Oryzias latipes: one gene and its partners. The main gene of each other region encodes a partner of the protein of the gene in region 3 in a complex. Links are inferred from orthologs where the notes say so. Each region holds a gene or a part of one and is shown on either strand. Other genes may lie near its edges. The genes, in order: dcp1a, arhgef6, map3k5 and pak1.

Evidence for each region.
Region 1: map3k5 (region 3) and dcp1a share a complex: the UniProt entries of both Homo sapiens proteins name them as parts of the cytoplasmic complex. The link is inferred for Oryzias latipes from reciprocal best matches to the Homo sapiens genes MAP3K5 and DCP1A.
Region 2: map3k5 (region 3) and arhgef6 share a complex: the UniProt entries of both Homo sapiens proteins name them as parts of the cytoplasmic complex. The link is inferred for Oryzias latipes from reciprocal best matches to the Homo sapiens genes MAP3K5 and ARHGEF6.
Region 4: map3k5 (region 3) and pak1 share a complex: the UniProt entries of both Homo sapiens proteins name them as parts of the cytoplasmic complex. The link is inferred for Oryzias latipes from reciprocal best matches to the Homo sapiens genes MAP3K5 and PAK1.

The regions. Positions count from the first base shown.
Region 1 is NC_019865.2:7,301,585-7,306,832, reverse strand, and holds the start of dcp1a (mRNA-decapping enzyme 1A), read right to left. Parts: upstream 3,597-5,248; 5' UTR 3,558-3,596; coding exon 3,426-3,557; intron 3,132-3,425; coding exon 3,091-3,131; intron 2,604-3,090; coding exon 2,476-2,603; intron 353-2,475; coding exon 286-352; intron 107-285; coding exon 1-106. UniProt on the Homo sapiens protein: Necessary for the degradation of mRNAs, both in normal mRNA turnover and in nonsense-mediated mRNA decay. Removes the 7-methyl guanine cap structure from mRNA molecules, yielding a 5'-phosphorylated mRNA fragment and 7m-GDP.
Region 2 is NC_019868.2:11,001,548-11,006,653, reverse strand, and holds the start of arhgef6 (rho guanine nucleotide exchange factor 6), read right to left. Parts: upstream 3,274-5,106; 5' UTR 3,117-3,273; coding exon 2,952-3,116; intron 2,232-2,951; exon of another isoform or gene 1,984-2,231; intron 1,901-1,983; coding exon 1,817-1,900; intron 247-1,816; coding exon 162-246; intron 1-161. UniProt on the Homo sapiens protein: Acts as a RAC1 guanine nucleotide exchange factor (GEF).
Region 3 is NC_019882.2:18,716,364-18,720,887, reverse strand, and holds the end of map3k5 (mitogen-activated protein kinase kinase kinase 5), read left to right. Parts: intron 1-369; coding exon 370-485; intron 486-561; coding exon 562-638; intron 639-3,263; coding exon 3,264-3,324; 3' UTR 3,325-4,197; downstream 4,198-4,524. UniProt on the Homo sapiens protein: Serine/threonine kinase which acts as an essential component of the MAP kinase signal transduction pathway. Plays an important role in the cascades of cellular responses evoked by changes in the environment.
Region 4 is NC_019871.2:4,534,420-4,538,943, reverse strand, and holds part of pak1 (serine/threonine-protein kinase PAK 1), read right to left. Parts: intron 3,887-4,524; coding exon 3,849-3,886; intron 1,786-3,848; coding exon 1,672-1,785; intron 1-1,671. UniProt on the Homo sapiens protein: Protein kinase involved in intracellular signaling pathways downstream of integrins and receptor-type kinases that plays an important role in cytoskeleton dynamics, in cell adhesion, migration, proliferation, apoptosis, mitosis, and in vesicle-mediated transport processes.

The DNA of each region.
Region 1 (5,248 bases), on a different chromosome or scaffold from region 3:
CTCCAGGATGTCAATAGGTTTCGTTTCGGTGATCCCATTGGTTCTTGCGGCCTCCGTCCTCTCTGGGGTCTTTCTCTGAGCATGGTCTGCTTCCTGTTTCACGATCCTGAAAGAGACTCAACTATAAACGTCCCGTACAGCACTGTTTGTATCATTTCAAACTTTTCATTTGGTTCCTTGGTACATTTACACGTCTGAAATACTAATGCAAATAGGATTTTGAATTCACCTACAGTTTTACCTCATTAATAAACTAACTTATTGGGTACATTTCAGCTCACTTACTTGAGCATCAGCTGAGCTATGCGCCGACAGTCCCTCTTGTCATAGAACCAAATACTGTAGATGCCCACTAGAAGAAATATAGAAACAGACATTCTGTTAGGTAAAGCAGTAATGCAAAAAAATAACCCCAAAAGGCTGTGAATGATTAATTTAATCATTAGTTCTCAACAACAACAAGATCAAATATTAAAGCTTACTTAATAATCCTAAAGTTTAAACATCTGTTTGAATAAAATGGGTAAAAAAACTGATAGAATAAAAGAAGTTCACAGAATTCTTCCAAGAACCAGATGTGGAAAACTAAAAACTGAAGTTTATGAAAGGACTTTGATCGCACAGATCAAACTACTACTGAAATGTAAAATAATGTAATTACAAAAAGGTTTAACTGTAAAAATAATATCTGGTTGTTATTACTTTATGTTGCAAGTGTGTTGTAAAATCCCGGTGTCTGAATCTCTTGTGAAGCAACAGTAACCCGGCAACCAAAACATTTGCCTCCCTGCAGCACCATCAGCGTCCAAAGGGAAAAGGATGAGGTGTAAACAGGTGTGTCCAAGTGTTTCTCTGCAACACTATTCTCCACATCCAAGCACATTTGCAGTGAGCTCTGCACCACTCACAGGAGCGAAACGTAAACATTTAAACCCTTTATTTGGAGAATTATATTTGGATCCTGATCGTTTTTGATGGTGACATTTCTCCTTCAGAGGGTGGGTTGTTCTTTTGCAGGACTTTCAAGATCAGAATTGGAATCTCCACCTTCAAAGCCAAACCTACACTAAAGGAGAAAAAGCGCAGAAACATTTTTCTCTCCAAACAAGTGGATAAACTAACAGAGTGAGACGGGACTGAAAACCAACCGACGGAAAAACAAACAAACAAAAAAAAACCACTTCGACTAACGTTTGCAGAGAAAAGCTTAGTTGCCAAGACGGATGTATCTTCACCTCAACTCAAGGAGCATTATCAGCTAATGTTTCCTGAGAAAACTGCTCTTCATTTTATCTTTTTGAAACTAAAGCTGACAGAAAGGAAGTAAGCGATGACAAAAGCCCCGAAGACTTGAGTGAAGCTACTGGAGAAGCAGACTATATTGGATCACCAACAAAACACTGCATCATGGCTTCCATACCTGCCAGGCTGCTGGGAAAACCAAAGCCCAAAGGAGAACAATCCACTTTGACTTTAACCTTGGCTATGCTAACTTTTCTCATCAGCAAACAAATGGGAAAGCAGTCGAATTCTTTGTTCATCGCTTTGATGAAACTTCTGCTCAGACTCCTCATTGATTATCTTGGTGGAAGTGCTGTCAGCTACTTTTTGAAGATCTAGTATGGCGCAATTTTTTTCTATTTGACCCATTTTTCCAGGAGGAAATTACAGGATTGAACAATCAGCAAACTAAAACAATTATAGCAGAAGAAGTTTGATGAATGAAACTTTGAACTCTTTTTGCTTTTTGACCCAAATGCGAAGGATAACTGTTGCAAAACCAGCTGGAAGCGCTTGTTTACGAGGCCGCTGTAGGCCATGAATGACAAAGTGTTCCTGCTTAATGCTTCAAGAAGTCACCATGAGTTCAAGCAAAAAGGAGAAGAGATGTTCCACCGAACACTGGGGAGGTGTTTATCCAGAATGTTCAGAGGTACTGTCAGAATTATTTGAGCATTTGTGAACAATAGATTGTTCACAAACTAGGTATGACAGCCACTTTTGACAGTTTGTGAATCCGCGGTGCACTACAATGACTTATACATTAAGGTGGGTTCACAAAGAATAAAGGAAATGGACAAAAAAGCTGCAAATAAAACGGCGTATTTAAAAAACAAGAGTTAACTTGAAAATTTCCATTTTACTTTGGCAAAAATGTCCTGGATTACTCAGTGAATTGTGCTTTATTCTAATTTTGTATCGACAATGTGGTCAGAAATTTTTACGACTTCCTATTTTCAACAAAAAATGTGATCTAAGCATTAAATCAGCATGTCTTCATCTCAACTCAAGACGTTTCACTCTATAATCATGTGGGCAGCCTCATCCTGGTTTTAATGAATACCTTGTAGCTTCAAAAGATCACTATTCCTTGAAATCTACTTAAATAGAACATCATTATAAAGCACTTTTGAATTAAATTAATGATTACAACTCTTCCATACTTTGATGAGGATTTTTATTCAAACCACTTACAGTTGCCATTCTTGTAGAGCAAGAAAGGATCCTGCAGTTGGAATTCCAGGTCTTTGTTAATAGGCTCCACAAGGTTGACTGTACTTAATCTGTTCATGATGGTGAAGCCATGATAAGGAGAAGCAGACCTAAAAGGAACAAACATCACTCTGTTGATAATGCTTCATTGTTTACTGTTGACAAAGCAATTAAAAAACACTTGAAAAAAACTTTTATGACAGTGAAATGTTGGATATTTCAAAATTGATAAAAACATTTCTAGTTTTTACAATTCTTTGTTTAAAGGTAAATATAATCTGGCAATTTTTAAAAACAAGTTTTATTGTTAATTTTCCTAATGATTTTCTAAAAAAGACAGAAAATAAATGCACATGACTTGATTTAAAAATTTCTGAGGCAAAAAAAAGTCAGTTATATTAAATCATAAATGTACAGTTTTCTTGGCAAATTGTTTGATGAGCAAAATTCATTTTTTGTACTGTAAACATAAAAATCTAGGCTGGGGCAAGTTTTCTCGATTTGTTTACAAATACGCCTACGGTGGCCTGTGCACATGCGCAGAGCACCCAATGATGAAGTAAACAATCAAATTACGAGTTCAAGTGCTAATCTTACCTGGCATAAACAAACAGAGTGCCTTCGATGTCGGTCTTCTCCTAAAATGTTTAAAATAACATTACAAGTCAAAACATGTTCTGAAAAGGTGCTGCCGAATCTGTGAACAATAGTTTAACTAAAGGAAATACATTTAAAAATACAAAAATTGAAAGGACTAGAAATAGCATTAGCTAAAATAACGAAGCATAAAGGTCCACGTACGGTAAAGCTTTAGTGAACATAGTGCTACTGTCGCGTTTTGATTAACGAGGGCTAGCACCATGAGCTAAGTAAACATGATGATAAAGCCTCATTCGAATCACAGAAAATCATAAAGTAACTAATGAACTTACCCACTCGTTTACTTTAGAATTAAAGTTGTAAAGTGCAACTTGACCAGTTACATCTAGTAATTTGTTTATATAGGGGTCTTGTCTTTGAAGAGCTGCTAAGCTCATCATATGTCCCGCACTTACAGTTTCCATCTTGGATCGGTCTGTTGTACCTACACGGACGAATTTTTTTGAAACACTTTCAACTTCGCTTGTCCCCGGAAGTGGCGGCGCTCAAAAATAGTTCCCCACTTCCACTATTTTTTTTTAAAGCTCAACTTTATTGCACATTATGCCATTTTACAAAAATGTACTTTTAGGTATGAAAAAAAAACCACAACTGCAAATATCAAATACACTTCTGTAACAAACAGAAGAACAAGACTAGAAATAGTTATAAGCCAGGGGGTTAAACTCTACGAAAAAATACTGAATCTATCACATACAGACAATGTTCTGATTGCTTTTTGCTTCTCTGAATTTCGAATACTGTTGATATACTGATTTAATTTAGAAAAGAATACAGTGAAACAGGGTTTTCTACCTGAAAATGTACATTTATGAACATGGAATTTTGCCAAAATGAGTAAAAGATTTAGAAGTAAACAAGAGTCCTTTTGCATATTTTTTTATATTAGACCCAACAAGACATCTTTCCAAAACAAGACAAAACAAGAATCAATTTTATCATTAATAAAATCACACATCTTCTGCCAAAACACCTTAACTTTGGGACAATACCAAAAAAGATGGATAACTGTTTCAGGGGAATCACAACCAAAGCTACAAAGTGTCTCAATGTTTAATTTAAATCTGTTCTGGATAAACGTTTTAGTTAGAATTATTTTGATTTGGACCTAATTTCATAAGTTTTGTTAAAACAATCTATAACGATACGAACAGTGTAGTTATTTCACCGAATGGCATTTCTCCCAGATTTTTAATTAACAAAAGAATTAAACAAGGCTGTCCAATTTTCACCGTTGCTTTTTATAACAGCAACAGAAATGTTATCAATACTTATAACAAACTCTGGTTTCTGTAAACTCAATGTCCTGGGAGAACAGTTAGCCATTACTAAGCTGGCAGACGACACGGCCGTATTCATGAAGGAGAGTCATCAAATACCGGAGATCTTTCAAACCGCAGATTCCTATTCTAAAGCAACTGGTTTAAAACTAAATCTCAGCAAGTGTGAATTGTAAGTAAATTTAAACATGTGGTCACAGCGTGACATTTCTATTCTGGGCAGAATGTTTCTCACTAAATTAGATTGTTTATCCAGATTCATTTATCCAGCATATTCACTCCCAATTCCTAAATCTGCAAGGAAAACAAGAAACCAGGGCAATTTTAACTTCATCTGGAAAAACAAAACTCATTACATAAAAAATGAATAATAATTCAGGATTACAGTGAAGGTGGATTTAAAGCCATAGACTTTGAAAGTTTGAATAGTATGATTAAAATAAATTGGCTTAGGGCTTTTCTGCAAAATGAAATAAATATTTTGTTTCATATTCCTTCAAACTTTTTCTCCCATCTGGGGGGCATTGAATTCCTCCTAAAATGTGATTTTGATGTAAGAATGCAGTCTATCCGTGCAAAGAACTACTACGTATACATTTTGGTTTTCCAGAAAATAACTGTTCTTTCTGTGACATAAATATAGAAACACTTGATCATCTGTTTTTGGAATGTATATATGTTAACAATTTTTGGGAGGATTTTTTTTCTTGGTGCTCCTCAAAGTTTCCCTTTCCTATTTCTATTCAATTACAAAAGCGCATCATATTATTTGGAATGGTTTCTGGTGATAATCTATTTTATTTGACATTCAATAC
Region 2 (5,106 bases), on a different chromosome or scaffold from region 3:
GCTGTCCATCTGTTACACACTATCCTTTATTGCAAAGGTCTAAAAAAAATAAATAAACAAAAGGGCAACATCCTCCAAATCAAGCAGATAGGGATTTAGGTAGAAGCAAGTCATCCAGCAAGGGTCAAATTCACTGTTGGGAAAAAGAGCTTCACTCTTACCTTGTGTAGCAAAATTGAATGCCATCAAAGTAGCCAGAACTTTGCCGAAATTCTCTCCAGTATATAACCACTCTGGTTCAAAGCCCTGGATGGACAGGTAGCAGAGAAGAGGATGTTAGAAACCAAAAGCTGCCCTTTATAAAAAGCTTTTTTATCTATCTATCTATCTATCTATCTATCTATCTATCTATCTATCTATCTATCTATCTATCTATCTATCTATGTACATGGCCTGTTTTCCGTCATTTTTCAGTCTTTAATAAAAGAAGGAAATGGCGGGCCATACTCATCTGTGGTTCCTGTCCACTTTCCTTTACACACTTGCACACTCACTGCTTGCCTAATCGGTCCAAGACAGCTATCTTCTTTCCTCCTTTGGCTAAGGTTTCACATTTTAAATAAAACATCTTAAATATAGAGTTTAAGTAGTATAAACTGTGCTGTGTGCAGCCTCTGGGCAATGTTCGACCAGTATGGCGGCCAATATGAGGTCATCCCAGGATCTATATAGCTGTTATAATCCACTTTGTCTGTCTTTTTTCTTTATTAATCAACAATAAGGTGGTTCATGTGTAATTTATGTTTGTTTAAAAATTGGAAATCGGAATTTTGTTGCATAGCTAAGAAAAACAGAGGGAAAGACAGGTAAGCCATGTTTAACAGAGACAATCTGTGATTAAAAGTGTGATAGTTCCCATAAATATTTGTCTTCTTAGCATCCAAAAAAAAAAAAAAAGAATTCTGACCAGTCCATCTTTTCTGGTGAATATTATGCAGTAAAAAAAAATTCTGAGGCTCAACAAAAGCAGCAGTCTTCCTTTTTTTGTCCTCGCAGAGCAGAAGTGAAAGCAGAATGGCTGCTGCTCTCTTTATGTATGTAGTAACTTGGCCTACAGGCACGGTTTGCTTTAGTAATATAACAGAAAGAATAAGAAAGAAAGAAAAAGAAGAGGAAAGTATGCTCTCCCCGAATGACTGAAAGATATTTTCTGGCTGATACATTTGGCAGAAGCGCTCCACAGACCTCTGCCCATGACCTACTGGCTGACTGCGAAAGGTCTAATTATGGGCTAAAACCGAGCTGGTGAATAAGAGCAAAGAAGACCTCTCAGACATAACAAGCCAGCTGGGCAAGCCTAGTAAACCACCGGAGTGGACCAAGCTGGGCTGACTCGATTAACGCTTCAAAGGAATCATTTCTGGGCCTCTAACCAGAGCCGATTATTTATAAAGTTGAGGGAGACATTAATGTCTGCTGTGGTAAAAACAGGCAGGCTGGTAGAGAGGTAAACTCCCAACATCTGTAAGCAATTCGCCTGGTTTCTTGTTCAGCAATAGAAACCTGCAAAAGGTACCTAGAGGTCTTTACTGACAATAAGCACTATAACAATAAAATAAAATTAAGAATTTATCAAAAAATAATACAAATAAATAAGGATTTTGACCAGCAATCCCTGGTAAGTGTGAGTGACAGCCTAGAAAGTGGCTCACACAACAAATACCCAAACACAAGCAAGAGTTGGTCAAATCAGACAGAAGACCTGCAAGAGATTCCAAGGACAGAGTAAACAGGTAATAGTGATAAAGGTCAAAGGTCAGCTCCTCATGTCTTTAAGGTAAAACAGGCAAAAAGAAGTCCATCAGATTCACCTTACCTCTACTTTCAAGGACGAGCATCCTCTTAAAAACTCTCGGATGTTGGAGATGCATTCCGCTTCAGTTCTTGGTTCTTGAGAACACTATTATAAAACAAAACACTAGATAAATAGAAAAACGTCTAGTATCTAGCTTTGGTGAAGCAAACTGTTTATCTGATACGCACCTAGCAGACACGGTTTTCATTTCAATGCGACTTAGAAGCAAGTAAAGTGACATGTTTATAATCCCAACGTGATATAATAACATACTTGAAAGCATGACTACATTTCTCCTTCATTTTCTACTTGCATTTTCAAGCCGTTACACCAAACAAATGTAAAGAACAACTTGTTTCACCAAAGCTTCCGGCCGCTTCCCCAGATTTCAAAATAAAATATGGTATTTTATCAATAAAAGTTACAGGCGACTGTGACATTTACATATTTTTGGGGGAGGGACCGTTTTTATTTTTGAATGTAGCAACTTGTCAGAAAAAAAAACACATGTATTAGAGCCGTAAGATGCAAATGTGGGCAACTTAAAAGTGTTGCTTCCGGTTGCGTTCTGCGTCTTTACGCTAGTGGCGGCGCTTTGCACTTTTTTCAAAGGGGAGGTCGCACCGGGAAGAACAGCCGTTCAAGAGGAAGTGACGACCTACATTTGCAACTGTTATCACTATCAACTTTGCCATCTTTGCGTTTAGCATAAGTTATGGCGCGTCTTTTCCAGTTTAAAAGTCTATAATGTCATGTGTAATACAAATAAAGTACCACGCACGCTCACACTTATGACATTTGCCGCCCTCCGTGCTCTTGAAGTGTCAAGTTCGTCGTATTTTGACAACATCTCTCCACACCGACCCGCTCGCGTCAAGAATGCGGAACAGATTTTTTTTCCACACGTACAGAAACAACTCCCTGAAAAGCCAGCGCGCGTGAATCTAAAGTGTTGCTAAAACTTCGAGATAAGCACGCGACATAAAGGAACATTCGGTGGTAAAATGTGTCGGCTGGGGGACACACACACAGCAGCAGGGCCGTCTGCAGGGACAACTAAGTTCCTGTCAGTATCGCTTTCGGCGAGCCTATTCCTTCTTCTCCACCAGAGAGCCGTTAATTTGGTGCCATTTGTCCGGTGAACTCGACGTCTCACCTTGGGAGTGAAGTCGGGTATGAGGCGCTCCGTGAGCTTGCACAGGACGACCCCATCCTTCAGGGATGCTTTTAGAAACTCCTCCGGGTCCGCTATGTTCTTTTTGGGCGAGCTGAGCACCCCCAGCGAGATCAACCACGTTACCGTCTGCTCCTCTGGATTCATAGCTCCGCGGTCCTCCTAAAACTGCATCGTTAAAAAAAATATTGAAGCTGCTGTGCTACCCATCAACATGCAACTCACATCCGCACTTCTGCTACAAGTTAAAAAAAAAAAAAAGAGGCAGTTGGCGGAGGAGGACGCGGCCACTGCACGCTACCCCTACTGGCAAACAGGCACCTCGACAAGCAGAGCTTCCTCCTGCAGAGCAGCACATCCTTCAAGATGCACACAACCACTCGTGATTGATGGAAATCAACACATCACATTAAAATTACCAGCCTTTTAATATATATATATATATATATATATATATATATATATATATATATATATACATATATATATATATATATATATATATATATACACACATATATATATATATATATACACACATATATATATATATATATACACATATATATATATATATATATATATATATATATATATATATATATATATATATATATATATATATATATATATATATATATATATATATATATATATATATATATATATATATATATATATATATATATATATATATATATATATATATATAGGAAGTTCAACCATGACTCCCTTTCCTTGTACTTTAATATTTACTATTATAAATATATATGTATATAGAAAGAGATGAGGCAAAACATTTTTCCCTCCAAAATCTTTATTAAGCCCAACTGTAAACTTCATCAAAACTTTAACTTGCTCCTCTTTCTACAAGTTCTTCCACTTGATGCAGTCCAGCCCAAACCTCAAGAGAAGGTTCTGCCAGGACCTGGAAAAAACAAAAACAATCATATTTTAGTACTTTGTTTTAAATCATTGCGCTTTAGCTCATTAACTTCAGATAAATATGCAGCAGTTACAAGGATAAGTAATGGAGTGGACGATGTCACTTTGTTTAAGGCAGGGTCCACCTAATATTTTTAAAATAAGAAGAGCTAGAACCCAAAACCCCCCAAAAATCAGAAAGCTACATTTACAACCAGTGCTTCAAATAACAGCAATTAAGTGTTGATTAATTAACACCATTATTTTTACAGAGTAATCCAATTACTTTTTTTGTTATTATACAGTTACTGCAAACCAAACACACCAGCAGCTGGTGTTGTGTCAAAGTATCTGAAGGGGAAACTGGGAGAGTTAAGTTATTATGATGGGATAAAGGAAGTGTCATTCTTCATGGTAGCCAACTGGAGACTATGTTGTTTTCCAACACAAGGCAAAACACTCATCCCACACACAAACACCAAGCAGGTGGAAAAGCTGCAGAAATAGTGAGTCCAGAGCAGAACTACTTACAGAATCCTGTCTCAGGTTTAGATTTTGATGTTAATTAAATAGTTACTATAAGAACGTTTTTCATTATTTTAAAGGTCTGCCCTAGCGCTCTTGCCTCACAGCAAGAAAGGCTGCTGGTTCAAATCCCGGCTGGGGGACCTGAAACAGAACATCAATGGGTGGAGTGTGCATTTTCTCCCAGTGCATGTGTGGATTTCTCCGGCTTCCTCCAACAGTCCAAAAACATGCTTCATGGGTTAATTGGTTACTCTAAATTGTCCCTGGGTGTGAATGTGAGGGTGTGCGATTGTGGCCCTGCGAAAGACTGGCGACCTGTCCAGGACGTCCCCTGCCTTCACCCACGAGTGGCCGGGATAGGCTCCAGCAGCCCCGTGACCCCAAAAGGGTTTAGAAGATGAACAAATAGCAGAGAGATTGATGTGTTCCAACTTTAGCAGCAGATGATGTTGATAAAAATCACCATAATCAAGAATAGGAAGGATGGTTGTTTGCACCAGTTTTCAGCTTGCAGAGAAGGAAGGTGAGGGAGGAGTGCATTCTGTAGAGAACACGCATTTTTGATTTAACATTTAAAACATCTTTTGGCTTTTTTTCCACCCATGGAGGACATGTATAAAAATCATTAAGCTCAAAATTGCATTTCTGAGTACAGTATTTCTTTAATCAAACGTGATTCAACAAA
Region 3 (4,524 bases):
AAAATGAACAAGAAGCCAAATAAAAGTCGATAGAGTTCGGTTGTCATGGACATGAAATCCGGTCTGAATATGTCTTTAAGTTTGTTTAACCCCCGATGCCTGGTCCATATGCAAACTGAGCTTTAAAGGGTTAAAGGTGAACATTAAAGTAAATTGGAATGAAAAAAAACTGAATTCCTTCACCAATAAAAAACATTAAAGAGAGATAATTCCGGAACCGTTTAACCCCAGAGATGTCGCCGTGTCCCCTTAATAACTAGTTTTTTGAATAAACATAACTTAACGTATGGTATAGCGCTCCCCCCCCCGTGTGAACATTTGATGAAAAGCTCATTGCGCTGACCGAGTCTCCTTATCCACTTCTGTCAGGAACCACAGTGGACGTCCAGCAGGAGCTCAGGAGTCAGCGCGCCGACAGTCGCGAAGACCCGGAGCTGAGCAGCTGGCTGAGGCTCTGCGGCCTGGAGCAGGACGCCATAGACGCGGTGAGGCCCTGCCGCAGCGCGCAACACCTTCCTTTGGGTTTGAACTAAGCAGAATCAACTCCTGCAATTTATCCAGATACTGAACGAGGAGTTTACGCTGAACAACATGCTCTACGATGTAACGAGGGACGATCTGAAGAGCCTCAACCTGAGGTAACACACCCACTTTTTTATGTTTTTAGTCTCACTTCTGCATCCAGACTCAAACACAGAAAAATGCAGAAGAGAAGCTGCAAGAGTTGTTTCATAACACTTTATGCTGCGGTGTTTTTCCAATTTGTAAACTGATTTCATGAGTTCAGATTGAAAATATCTGTCATTTATTTAAAGAAAAACTCTAAAACTCTAAAACAGAATCACCAAAGAACAGTAATAATTTAGAGTTTGTCGCCACCCAGTGGTCAGTCAGCAGCAAATGCTGTGCTAGGAAATGTTATAGTGAACAAATACGTCTGTTGGAGCAGTTTTCTTTTTAAATGGCACAATTTTTGAGAAAAATGTCAGTTTAAAAAAAAGTGCTCATTTGTCATGAAATATCATCGATTTCATCCGGTATATAAACCCCCAAAAAAAGGTCTTGCAGCAAGGAAAATATTTCATCTGCAATTAATCAGCATTTGTAACAGATAACTTCTAGGCTATCCTTGTCTGCACAAAATGTGAAAAACAAAATGTTTTTGGTATACTTCTGGGAAAAAAATCAGCAAGAATGTCAACAACAAAAAACTAAACTGTAACTATGTGTATTTCTGATATTACCTTGTCAAAGTTGTAGATCAACTTGCCTCTGCAACACCACCCCCTAGTGGTTGATCAGTAAACTACAGATTCCTAGTTAACCCTTCACAGCATGACTTTTTGACAGCTTCAACACTATTCTGACATTTTAACGCCTTACTAACGTAAAGTGTTGCATAGCGGGGGCAAAGCTGCTTTTCTCTGTTTCAGAATCAGCTAAAGTTACGTTTATTGTGTAAACAGTTGAAGAGTTACGGTAGAATGTCAACACTAGAGCTGAAGCTCCAGTGATAGTAATCTGAAAATAACAGAGGAAAAGAGGAAAAGAATGCAGTGAAACGAGTTAAAAGATTAAAACTAAAATCTCGTGCATTCTTATGTTTTCTTTCGTTTTTTGCATATATTTCCCCCTAGTGGATATTTAAGATAAGATGAGATAAACTTTATTCATCCCACAATGGGGAAATTATTTTATCTCAAGCAGCAAAAATAGACATTCAGAAGTACAAACAGAAAATAACTTAATAAAAATATGCAGCAGAATCAACTGTAGAAGGATAAAAAAACAACGACAACAACAGTTTACAAAATAAATAGAATGAATGAAAAAACAAAACACCTGTGGGACCGTAGTGTTTCACTGTAACACGGTGTTGGACAGTCTGATGGCTGTGGGGAGGAATGACCTGCAGTAGCTCCTTCTTGCACGTTGGATGCAACAGTCTGGTGCTGAAGAAGGTGGTCAGCGCCTCCACAGTTTGGTGCAGGGGGTGGGAGGGGGTATCCATGATGGATGTTAGCTTAGCTAACATGTTAGCTTAGCTAACATCCTCTTGTCCCCCACCTCCTCCATGGACTCCAGTGTGCAGCCCAGGACAGAGCCGGCCTTCTTAACCAGTTTGTTAAGCCTCCTCCTGTCTCTGTCTGCACTGCCCCCCGCCCAGCACACAACTCCATAAAGGACCACTGAGGCCACCACAGTGTCGTAAAAGGTCCTCAGCAGCTGTCTGCACACGCCAAACGACCTCAGTCTCCTCAGCAGGTGAAGGCGACTCTGGCCCCTCCTGTACAGAGCATCCGTGTTGTTGGACCAGTCAAGTCTGTTGTTCAGGTGAACACCCAGATATTTAAATGTGTCCACGACCTCAATGTCTGAACCCTGGATGTCCACCAGTGACTGTGGTGGCGAGGACCTCCTGAAGTCCAGGATCAGCTCCTTTGTCTTGCTGGTGTTAAGCAGCAGGTGGTTATTTTCACACCAGCCAACAGAGTCAGAGATGACCCCCCTGAAACGCAGCCCACAATGGCACTGTCCTCTGAGAACTTCTGCAGATGACCGTGGTGGGAGACGTATTTAAAGTCTGATGTGTACAGGGTGAACAGGAATGGGGAGAGCACAGTCCCTTGAGGTGCCCCCGTGCTGCAGACCACCACATCAGACACACAGTCATGCAGCCTCACAAACTGTGGTCTGTCTGTGAGGTAGTTGATGGTCCAAGCAGCCAGATGTTGGTCACACCTGCAACTTCCAGCTTCCTCCTCAGCAGTGATGGCTGGATGGTGTTAAAGGCACTGGAGGAATCAAAAAACATGACTCTCACAGTGCTCCCAGGGGTCTCCAGGTGAGACAGGGCCCGATGCTGCAGGTAGATGATGGCGTCATCCACCCCGATGCCTGGTCGATATGCAAACTGCAGCAGGTCCAGTGCTGAGCTCACCTGAGTGCGGAGATGGCTGAGGATGATCCTCTCCATGGCCTTCATTCATTTTGATGTGTATGTGCTAAACAAGGATATTTTCATCATCTGCCTCTTCTTAAAAATGCTAAATAAAAACATTCGTGTGCTAAAAAGTCAAAGACAAACTAATTTTATGCTGTTTCCACTAAATAAACAACTAAATGCAACATAAAGTTGTGATTTTTCATTCTTATTCTTATTTACACTTTTTGGTTATAAATAAAGCTTTCTTTTGATCAGATCTGTAATATGGTGCTGTCAATAAAGTTTTATGTCCCGCGTGAACCTGCTTTGTCTGCAGAGGAGGAGTCCTGTGTAAACTCTGGAAGGCCATCAGCGACCACAGACAGAAACCAGCCTGATGCCTTAAATGGAAAAAGCCCGCAGAGACGCCGACGTCCCAGCATTCCCTCCTTACCTCAGTATTTATAGGAGCCAGAGTTTGGGTTTTTAGCACAAAATGACCTTTTCTGCAGTGAATTGATGAATCTCGATCCCTTTGAAAAACAAAAGGATGACTAAGAAGTGCCACTCGCTCAAATTCAACACGAAAGCTTTAGTTACAGGTGTGCCTAAAATGCCATTTGATAGAAACAGGAAATAATAAACTCCTAAAAAATAGTCTGAAAGTAGAAATCTGTTTCTGTCTTTACCAAATGTGATGTTTACAGAAATACTGATCATTTTCTAAAGAAAAAAAAAAGCCTGAGATACAAAAAAAACTACACTTGACTTTGAGCTTTTTATGACAGAATATTATCACTACTTTATTTAAATGTTTATAGTTTAACTATTGAATTTTGTCTGCGCATGGCCTCCGCAAACTGAAACTTATTTAAATTTCTTTTGGGTTTATTTTTTTTTCACATTTTCTCTGACAAATAAATCAAAAAGTTTTATTTCTAATATTTGCTGTAAATATTGTGATATAAGAATCTATGTGAATAAAATATGTCATATATAGAGGGCACTGCGGGCTTAGAGCATAGACGACATGCGGACCAAGTTTGTTTATTTTTAGTGCCGCATATGATAGAAAATATCACCCTAAATGATTTAACATCCTCTGTTTTTATTGTTTATTCGGCCAACAAGAATAAAAAAAAAACATTTTCACACAAATTACCTTTTTTAATCATGTCAAAAATGTGGGGATGTAATTATTAACATTGTGTTTGTTTGTTTTGTATCCTAAAAATTGATTTGTGTGTTAAAATAAAAAAGACTAATCTTAACGATGTGAAAGAAAATGTCTCCACGTTTCTGTTCACCTCATAGATCTTTAGATCCTTCAGAAGTGAGGTGGATCCATTTCCTCTGATCCATTGTGAAAGCTGATCTGAACTCTGGTACGGATGAAACTCATGAACCCGGGTTTATTTGGGGCCGGTTTGCACACATTCTTCCATCGGTTTGAATCCTTTATTCCAGAGGAATTTAGGACCCTGAACTTTATTGATTTGTATGGCGCCTTTTATTTTGGTTAAAAACACAAAGCGCTTAACATAAAAGCAGAGAAAATAGTCATAAAATATGAAAATGATTTAAAACAGAAAACACAG
Region 4 (4,524 bases), on a different chromosome or scaffold from region 3:
CAAAGGGCTTCTTAGAAAAACCTGGTTCTAAATAAAGCGTTCCCCGTGACCATCACACGCTGAAGCAGTCGTAACGTTGTTGAGACTCGATGAGGCGGAGGACGGCTCCGTTTAAAAATGAAACGGCTAATGAGCTTTGGCTTCCAGAGATCCACTCGTGACTTCAGAGAGCCTCAAACTGTCATATCTAAACATCTATAACGTGACTAAAAGACGAGGAGGAATGCATCAGCAATAGCAGATGTATAAACAGTTCATAAACAATGATTTTTTTAATTGAAAAAATAGAAATAAAAGGTTAAAGAATAATATAATGTCATATCCGGTTGCAATAGTCAGATAAAGTCGCTGTCATGACTCCACCAACATCTTTGAACGAGCATCTATAGTTTTCGTGCCACTTTTTTAAATAATTGAATCCATTTATTGAGTTTGGCATTAATCACATTCTGTTTAGAAAAGTTTTTTCAAATGACTTTAAAGATTTGACAGACAGTGGGTCTGAGAAAGAGACAGGTGGCAGAGATGAAGATGTTGAGGTTCTCTGACCAGGATGAGGAATGAATCCATCAGAGGAACTGATCCTGGGAAGCAGATTGTGATGGTTTCAGAGGAGGGGCAGGGACCATTGATGTAGTGAAGAAGAGCATGGGGATGGTTGGTGTGAATGAGGAGAGGATGATTCCAACGAACACCTTATCAAATGTCAGAAGAAAACCTTCTTGACTCTAAACTTCTTCTATATATTGACTTACGCTGTAAGGGTGAGTAAAAGTGTAAAGCAGTTTTACCTTTATTTTGCATACTTTCATAACATGTTCTCATCAAAGACAGCTATGATAAGCTCAAAGGCTAATTGGAAAAGTTTGTTTCAGTTTGTTTCTTAGCATTTTGCATAACTTTGTGCTTTTTTTTCCTGTGTTTTTAATAGAAGTTGTGAAAATAAATTTTCATCGTGTCATGTATTTTTACAAATGCAAAAACACTTCTGACTTCACATGCATTCCAACTAATACTGAAATATTTTCATCTTTTGATTGAATATTTATGAAAGTCACTTGAAGACCCACTCTGATTAAACATTTTTTTTATGTTTTTAACATCTTGTGGCAATTTTCTGCTTATTGAGGACATATATAAAGAGAATCAAGCATAAAATGTAATTTCTGAGTATTTCTTTAACCAAACTGTTGTGAATCAGGAGCAGAGGAAATTTTCCGTTTGAAAAAGCGCTTAATTCTGATCTTAAAATATGCTAGGTGGGCAAGCTTCATGCTCCAAGCTCCCAGCAAAGGGGAGGGGAAGGGGGGGTGGGCCTGCTCCTTACCAAAGTTTTATTTATTTATTTTTAAATTTCATTCTGTCCAGCAGAGAGAAAGGACGTGAAGGCCTCTTGTGTTGGACAAATTTTACATACTTTTATTTCTTAAAACATACTGTTTAAGCAAAGTATATAAGCACTTCCTGTTACGTTTGTATGAAAACTTCTTTATGAATAAAGTTTTGATTTGATATCAAATGTAGCCAAGTGTGTTTTGAAACAATGTTTTCTTTTAAAACCAATCTGTCTTTTTTTCAAAAGTGTGTAAAATGAAATATACTTTAAAAAGTCTCTACTAAAAGTTTACTAAGAAGTATAATACAAAAAACAACAAAAAAGTAAATTCTTACTGATTTTGTGTGTTCTGGACGGGGCGCAACCACCGGCGGGGGCTCCACCTCCTCCTCGTCTTCATCCTCGGATACGGTTGCTATGGCGGGAGTCTCCAACACGGCTTTGGTGCTCTGCATGATGTCACAGGGGGAGAGAGGGAGGAGCCTGAGTGACGCCATGGCTACATGAGCGATCATCGATACGAGACCCATCATTGCTTCCTGCTGCTCTCTGATGCTTCCTAATCTCATCAGGCAGACATTCCTCCTGCCCGTCTTCAGCTCTTCTTCTCTGGGTCTTATTCAACCCTTTCAACTCTCCCTCCATCTTTTTGTTCGCCCGCCTCCCGTCATCTCCTTTGCCGTCTGAAAGCTCTGCTCAGGTGTGGCTTGTGATGCTACATCTTCCTCTCTTCTTCTCCTCCTCCTCCTCTGTCTGCCCGCGATGCTCGGCTGGTGGCCAAGCTGCAGGGACGGGCAAATGGCGAGGAGACAAGATGCTGATTCATAATGCAGAGGAGGAGACAGAGGAGTACATCTGGAGGAACTCCTGCTGTTCTTCATCGTTGTCTTCACCATTACGTTCAGAAATGAAACAAAATCGAGTTCAAAAGCAGTCTGTCACTGCAAGAGTCTCTGATTAAGGAGCATTCCGACACACAATCAGAACTTTGTTTTTTCCTTTTTTGGCCTCAAAATATAGTTGATATATTTGGTTTAAGATATTTTATGAATGTTATGTAAATATTTAATTTAATTTTGAATCTTTTAGGGCGATTTTTACATCTACCAGCAGGGCTGGGCACATATTTTGACTGGCGGGCCAAATAGGGTTCTAAAATTAAATAGAAGGGCCGGACCAGGAGCAGATGCACGGAGTGAGAAAGAAATAACATGGCATCTGGATGAAAAGCAGTTGGATTTAAAATTATATTTTAAAACAGAGCATTTTAGAGTTTTTAGGTTAAAACGTTAGTTCTCAATTTAGAGCCAGTTGCACCAATGGCTTGATGTACTTCGTGTAAAACTTAGAGAAATGCTGCGTTCATGTGGTGTTTGAATGATTGGAAGATTGAAAAACAACAAACCTTCAAACACCACACGGATGCTAGAGCAGGGGTCCCCAAACGTTTTCGAGTGAGGGTCACAATAACTCTTTTTCTTTAAAACTTTAAACGTCTTTTCAAATCAAATCAAATCAAACTTTATTTATAAAATAGCGCTTGTCTTTCTTTAATTGCGAAGCCCTTGGGGGGCCAGCGGGGATCACATACTTTTTTTTAAGGGAATAAATTTATAACCTGAATAACTTGTGATAAAGAAAAACATATAATTAAAAAAAAGTTATGATTATCAAAAACAAGTTAAAAAAAAAGTATCAGAATAAAATTTGTTTTTCTAACCAATAGCATGACTGAGTAACAGCTATTTTTTTTCAAATGACGTATATGGGATTTTGGCATCTTGGAGCCAGCAGGTACTTCCTGTTCTAAACGTCAGAGGGGCGGAGTCACTCAGTTCAGTTCTCATATACAGTCAATGGGGAAACACTGGCAAGCGCCCCATTGTGATTGCAACTGTTCTACCAAATGGGCTCCCATGTTGAAAGGAAAAGTAGTGATTTCCCTAAATATGCTTTTAAATTCCTTTGAAACACGCGTTTTACCACAATAATATTTAGTACATTACTCTTTAGAGAAATATTTTTCAAAAGAAGTCTGAAAAAGATTTCTTTTGAAATATGTATTGTGGGGAAATTTTAAAAAATGCCTCGTTCCAGCTACAAAATTAGCATTTACGTTTGAGTTTGTTGTCAAACTCTCATTTTATCCTTTCTACTTTAAGGATTGTTCCATTCTGCTTTAGATAAATCCGCTTTCAGGCGAGTCAGCAGATGCACTAAGGACTGAATTCTTTCTCTTAGGTCTACACAACGCACAGCAACCGGCATGAAAGAGATCTGCCAAGCGAGTAATGACCATAATTCCACGCTGCTTTGTGTGAGGCTGTGGAATCCTTGCAGGTTGGTGAGGAACTTTTAAAACCAACAGCATCATGAACTTTGCCAACAGAACTAAGACAAGAAAAAACAAAACATGTCACTTTAGTTTCTGAGTTCTTCTTTTGCTTAATTTCTTACACAAATGAGTAAATGTGTCACGTGTCCTTAGGGAGCGAATCAGAGGCGGTCTTACCGTTGTGGTGGAGGAGCTGTACACGTCTAGGTTTTTATCTGCAATAAGAAAAAGACAAAAAAATTATATGATACATGTTATAAAAATGATCTAAAAGAAACCTAACATCAATTGTGATACAAGTACTAAAGAAATAGGGATGTCCCAATCCGATCACGTGACTGGAATACGGGCGAATCGCGTCGTTTCACACTTTATTGGAGTCAGATGTTGAATCATTATTTCCTTGTTATTATGATCATATATTTCAAGCTTATTACCACAAATAAGTATTCTACTAGAGGTCTGCATATCATGAACAGATTACATTTTATTGGCGTAAAGCACAGCAGGAGGCGCACAAAAACAGTTCGGTAAAGTTAGCAAGATATTCACAGCTTCAGACTTCCAGGCTCCAAAACTCTTAAAAAACGTTCAAAACTGTCATCAAATATCTCTATTGGTTTTTCTTTATGCAAACGAAGAAATAAAAAGATTGAGTTTTTTTATTCCAAGAGGAAACACTGGAGTAAAAAACATCAGAATAAAAATTATCATAAAATAACAACAATAAAAATAGAAAAAGATAAAAATTAAAATAAGATATAAGAATGTTAGGTATTAAAAAATAAAATATGTAAACTGATTAAAACATAACCTTAGTATCATTGGTAAAATAACAATAAAAAGAATAGCA